Arabidopsis thaliana: one gene and its partner. The protein of the gene in region 1 interacts with the protein of each later gene in a pairwise test. Each region holds a gene or a part of one and is shown on either strand. Other genes may lie near its edges.

What was found. The genes of interacting proteins can lie anywhere in the genome.
Region 2: the proteins of AGL99 (region 1) and AGL76 interact in a two-hybrid assay, tested with the Arabidopsis thaliana proteins (one large-scale study listed by BioGRID).

What each region holds. Positions count from the first base shown.
Region 1 is NC_003076.8:1,331,244-1,334,583, forward strand, and holds AGL99 (AGAMOUS-like 99), read left to right. Parts: upstream 1-1,515; 5' UTR 1,516-1,581; coding exon 1,582-2,550; 3' UTR 2,551-2,679; downstream 2,680-3,340. Other genes in the region: CYP77A9 (cytochrome P450, family 77, subfamily A, polypeptide 9), read left to right, coding at 1-864.
Region 2 is NC_003076.8:16,050,224-16,053,587, forward strand, and holds AGL76 (AGAMOUS-like 76), read left to right. Parts: upstream 1-1,655; coding exon 1,656-2,813; downstream 2,814-3,364.

The sequences.
Region 1 (3,340 bases):
GATCCACGAATTCACGACTATCTTCCGATTCTAACTCCGTTTTACTTCAAGGAGAGGAAAAATTCTCTGGAACTTCGCCGGAAACTTGTCCAATTCGTCGTTGGATTCATCGAGAAACGACGATTAGCGATTCGAAATCTCGGCTCCGATAAAACGGCGTCGTCTTTCGCGTATCTTGATACTTTATTCGATCTCAGAGTTGATGGTCGTGAAACGTCACCGTCAGATGAAGATCTCGTGACGCTGTGTTCAGAGTTTCTCAACGCCGGTACGGATACGACGGGGACGGCGATAGAGTGGGGAATCGCGGAGCTGATATCGAATCCGAAGATTCAATCTCGGCTGTACGATGAGATTAAATCAACGGTGGGAGATGATCGAACGGTTGAGGAGAAAGATTTGAATAAAATGGTCTTTTTACAAGCTTTTGTTAAGGAGCTTCTCCGGAGACATCCACCGACGTATTTCACGTTAACTCACGGCGTTACGGAGCCGACTAATCTCGCGGGTTACGATATTCCCGTCGGGGCTAATGTTGAGTTTTATCTTCCCGGTATAAGTGAAGACCCGAAGATATGGTCTAAACCGGAGAAATTTGATCCGGACCGGTTTATAACAGGTGGAGAAGACGCCGATTTAACCGGAGTCGCCGGAGTTAAAATGATGCCGTTCGGAATTGGCCGTCGGATTTGTCCGGGGCTTGGAATGGCGGTCGTACACGTGGAGCTAATGCTGTCGAGGATGGTTCAAGAGTTTGAGTGGAGCTCGTACCCGCCGGAGAGCCAAGTGGATTTCACCGGCAAATTGGTGTTCGCGGTGGTGATGAAGAATCCGTTGAGAGCGAGGGTTAAAGCTAGGGTTTAAGTTTCGTTGATTCCACGTCTTTGATTCTTTTAACTTGACCAAACCCGGTTCAAGAGAGAAAATTCGCATTTTGTCTAATTTGCTTTGGTTTAATTAAATGTTTTCCTACTCTTCAATTACTAAATAGAGCCATGCATATTCGATTTACGTTTGTTTTAGTTGGTTTGCATTATTGCATGTCTTCAAATTAAGCTAGTATAAACTAATAATTTAGATGGTTTGACTAAACCAAATAACTGTTTATTACTGAACCAAATTTTCGATTAAATCACTCTTTCAGAAAAGGAAATTTCTTTGACAAAGGAAAAGGAAACATATACTTATTGGATTAATTAGTGATTAGTAGATTATCACGAAAAGGAAATAGAATCGATGGTTTAACTGAACCAGCCATGGTTAGTTTCAGGTGCTTTTCGAGTTAAGTTTTCAAAAAAGGAAATCGATTGTACTTAGTTTGGTTCGTCTCAGGCGGTTTAAGAGTCATTACTTTCAAAAAAGGAAAATAATTATACTTAGTTCGTTTAATCACTGATTAGCTAATTGTCAGAAAAAGGAAATATAGTCGATTGATTAGAAACGAGTAACAACACAGAGTCTATATATACACGATTAGAAACAGAGAGTAGCCATATCATATTCTTTCGCAACAGGCTAACACAAAAATCTCTCTGTCTTTTTCTCCTTCTCTTTCTTTGTCTGTGAAATCGTGAACACAGAATGGGGGGCGTGAAGAGAAAGATTTCTATAGAGCTGATAGAGAAGAAAGATTCAAGAGCTGTTGCTTTCTCAAAACGCAGTAGGGGTCTATATAGCAAAGCCTCTGATCTTTGTCTTCTCTCCGATGCACAAATTGCGATCATAGCCACTCCGGTCTCTTCCAAATCAAACGTTTCTTTCTACACCTTTGGCCATTCCTCTGTTGATAACGTTGTAGCCGCTTTCCTCACGAATCAGCGTCCTCGGGAAGGTCTAGGGTTAGACTATTGGTGGGAAGATGAGAGGCTTTCAAAATCAGAGGACCTGGAGGAACTGAGAGACGCAATGGACTCGATGTCGAAGATGTTGAAAGATCTGAAGGATTTGCAGAATCAACGAGATTGTGAGGAGGACGTGAAGAAGAAGGGTGTTTTACACGGAACTCATCAAAAGCAAACCTTTAATCCTGAATCATGTTCTGTGAATTTCGATGGGTTTAACAAGAACACTGAAGAATTTGATCTTGATGAAATATTTGATTATGTGTCAACAGCTGAAGCTCTATCGATGAACTTGGACATGGACGATGTCTCTGTGGTGACCACGAATCAAAACCCCGTCTCTGCTTCTGAAACTGTTGAAGATAGAGAATTGGTTGTTCACAAAAATATGGATGAGGACAATATCCACGTGTCTGATATGGACGACAAGGATACGATGCTAATGATTTCTGACAAGAACAATGTTTTACCTGAAAACTTGGATGAATTCGATCAAGAGCTAGATCTTGATCAGCTACTTGATTTTGAGACAAACTATGAAAGCCTTTTGAAGAGTTGTGAGATGGAGGATTATGCCTCGATGGTGACTACAAAGCAAAATCTGTGCTCAAATCCTGAAGCTGTTGAAGATGGAGGATTAATGATTCAAAAAGATTTACCGGAGGATAATCTCTGCTTTTCTGATTATTTCAGTGACTTACATTGCTGATATTTGAAACTCCCTCCAAGATAACAGATGTTTCAAGGATTGCTTCGGTTTATTTTCGTTAGAGATACTTTACTCAAGGAAGGTTCCGGTTTGACTTCAATCAATTTTCCATGCTTCATTGGATTTCTGGGATGTTGATCTAACTCAAACCGGTTCAGTTTTGGTTTGCCTTAACTAATGAAGAAACCATCCTTTTTTCTTTTAAGTTTTGTAGTCTTTTCTATCAACTTGTCTTGTTTTATATGTGTGATGTTTTCTTCTTATATTAAAAGTTTAAAACCAATGAGTCTTACTACTCTTTTTTTCTTGTATCAACTTGTGTCTTGTTTAACTGTGGGATGTTTTCTAATCTAACCAACAAATAATATTAAAACCAATATTGAGTCTTACAACAGAAAACATCTGTCTGACAATCTTTGATTAGGAATGTCTCTGCTTTCTTATTAAGTACCAAAACCAGTCATCATCTAGGCCAGTATTTTGTGATTACTTCATAACTTGAAAACAGATAAAGCTTTACCAAAATAGAGCAGAATGGCTCCATAACAAATTGCAGAAGAACCGGTGCTAATTGATTCCATTCAAAACGTGATGCAGAGAAGTGTTTATATGGCGGGGAAAGTTTGGGAAAAAACACCTTGTAATTGGTTCAAATGCAATGTAGGGGGAGCTTGGGTGTTAAGAAATGAGTTGGGTGGTTTTACTTCACAGTCGCCGGGCGATATTTAGTATAAGAAGTGTAGAGGATGCAAAGCTAAGAGTTTTGCTTTGGTCTATTGAAAGCATGTCA
Region 2 (3,364 bases), about 15 Mb from region 1:
TGGTGATGATGCTGAAAGTGACCGTGTATGTGATAGTGTTTCAAATGTTGATGAAAATAATGAGGCCGTAGATGAGAAAGACGACGATGAAGACGATAAAACAAATGAGGATGAAGAGGAGGGGGACAACAAAGATGGTGGTGGGTATGATGATTATCAGGGTGACGATGGATCTATAGGGGGAAGTACCCTCGATCCTACTATTGATGGTAGTGAAAGTAGTGGCGAAGATTATGATTACAACAAGTGGAACGATGTAATTGTAGAAGAATATGGAATAGGGAATGTTGACGAGAACGTCATTCTCACACCAGGGGAATTCAGTCGTCTGTTGGCAGAGTGTACGTACACAAGTCAGCGTGTACCTGGCGGAGATAACATTTCTCACTCGGGTGACCGTACACCAGTTGTGACTCGAAGAAGTATGTGTCAACATGGTTTGTACCAATGTACCTACACTATAGATTGGGAAGTGTTTTTAAGAACAGAAAAATCATACAACAAACAATGTCTTATCTCAGCCACTGCCAATATTGGTTTAATATTGTATTAATAAATTTTTCTTAATAATTTCATTCACAAACAAAGATGTACGTATATTATTACACATGTACATACATTAATTTACCAACAAAAATGTACGTACATTATTTCACCATCTATTTTTATTTAATTATTATGTATGTATTGAGATTATTGAGATATAAGAATACGTAATAAAATAGTTTGAATTATTAGAAATCGTCTCATATATGTTCCATAAATAATTTCGTGTACGTACACAGAAAAAATTCGATGAAGGGTATAATTGTAATTTTCCAGTCATCTTCAACCTGTGTATCCTTTTCTGCAAACCTAATTTTGCGGCCGTCTTTATCAGTTTTCTCAAAATCTCATTTTTTTACGTTTTGATTACTATTTATAAATAAATCTTGTAAACTTAGAGTATCTTTAGTTTAAAAAGCTAAAGTGTTTGTATCTAGGAGCTTTTTTTTTGCATTTTGTTCATCTCTGAAAACAAGAAATTTGTTCCTCAATTTTGGAGTTCAATGGAGAGATGTCGAAATATGAAGGAGTGGATAATGAATTTTGAACTTCTTTCTACTTCTCTCTCGAATTACTCCGTCTCTTTCTCTTTTTCTTCTTCTTTGTTTCTTTGTTTCAGTGTTTTTTTTTTGTTTTTTTCAAAACTGAACCATTAAGGATAAACCAAAATCACAAAACCATTAAGGGTAAACCATTAAGTTTCAAAACAAAACCAGAAAAACTAAACCGAAATCAAGTGCTGTGTGATTTGGTTGCTCCCATTAAGGGTATTTTAGTCTGAAAACAACTGAAAAGACAAACGGTAAAAACCATATCTCACTTTGACAAACCATGAGAGCAATTCTTTTTTCATCCAGTGAAAATTTCTTTTTATTAAATCTATAAAATACGGAAATCAAATCTATACTCGTATTTCCTTTTCTTACCGATGAGCGTGAGTGGTTATGAAAACCAAATCTTTACTTCTACATCTATAAATATATGATTTTACTCTCCAAACCTAATACATTAGTTTCACTCTCTCAATTTTATTCTTCTTCGCCTTCGTGCTTTCTCTTAACTTTGAACGTGAAAAAAACAGAGAGTTTGTCTTCGAAACCAACAAGAAGATGACTATGCGATCATTACCTTTTTCCTCTTCTTCTTATTCACTCGCTTCCACAAGTTTGAGTAACAGACTTGAGACTATATTCAAGAAAGCTTCAGAGCTTTGCACTCTCTGTGATATCGAAGCGTGCGTCATCTATTACGGACCAGACGGAGAACTTAAGACATGGCCTAAGGAGAAAGAGAAAGTGAGAGACATTGCTCTGAGGTATAGTCAATTAAACGAAGCCTTGAGAAGCAAGAAAAGCGTTAATCTTCATGGGTTCCTGAACAAGAAGAAGAAGAAGAAGAAGAAGGGTTTGAAGAATCCGAACAATAAGAGGAAGACTTGTCTTAAGAAGAACGTGAATGTTTTAAAGTATCCACTCGCTGATCATTACCCTCCCGACCAAGTTTCTCAACTGACTCAGTCCTTAAAACTCCATGTCTCTAAATTCCAAGAAAGGCTTCGATTTCTTGAGTCGCAGAAACAGACAAAACCGGATCATCAGAGTTTAACACCATCCTCTTTGAATCATCAGACCCAATCTTTGAACCCTAGACAGTTTTCGCTGTTTATGTATAACCATGGAGACAATACTCTGTCTCAGATCTCAGTCTCTGCATCAAATTTCAATCAGAATTATTTCTCAGCGTTACTTGAACAATCTGAGTTGAAGAATCAGTTAATGAAGCAGGATGGTTATGATCAGAATCAGAACATGAGGATGGGTGACATCACCAACAACAATTTTCAACTTCCTTACTTCTCAAAGAAAGAAGCGGTACAAGAATCTGTGAACTACTTTGGGATGAATCAGTTGATGCTGAAGGAGTTATATGGTTGTGATCAAAACATGTGTATGGGTAACATCAATAGCAACAGCTTTCAACATCCTTGCGTCTCAAAGGCACAACATTACTCGGCGGTAGAAGGATCTGTCAATAACCAACGACAATCTGAGTTAATGCAGCAGGAGCTTTGTGGTTATGAGCAGAACATGTGCTTTACCAACAACAATTTTCAAGTCTCAAACAAAGAAGCGGTTCAAGAATCTGTGACTAATTTTGGGTTGATGCAGCATGAACTTTATGGGTGTGATCAAAACATGTCTATGGGCAACATCATTAACAACAGCTTTCAACAGCGTCTCAAACACAGAACAAGAATCTGTGAATAACCCCTGGTTGAATCAGTTGATGCAGCATGAACTCTATGGCTATGATCAATGGTGAAGTAGCGGAACAGAGATAGTGAAGCTGTTTTCTTGAGTCTTGATTCACTTGTTAATTTTTATTTTTGAGTACGCTTGTTAATCTGTAGAGATTTCGTTCTGAGTTTTAAAGTTACAACTTGTATTTTCGGTTTAGTTATTACATATATATGATATAAAAACTCGAGCAATCTTTAACTAACATGTTAAATTGAGGCACATCGACGAAACTCAAAACAACAAGCAATACAGTAGCAAGTAGCAGAAACAAGCAAAGCAATCAAACAATTGTGGTGATGAAACATGTAGTAAAGTAAGAGAAGCTTGCCTATTAGTAACATCCAATTAGAATTGTATCACAAAGTAGGGCAAGTAAATCATTTTTGACTAGTGTGTAACTTGTATACTATCTCCATCACTAATGTTCACTCTCATCTCTGAAAATTATGATGGTGTAATAAGAGAACAATAATAAATTCTTCAAACAAAAAATATCCTCGAATTTAAAATCTTCCAAC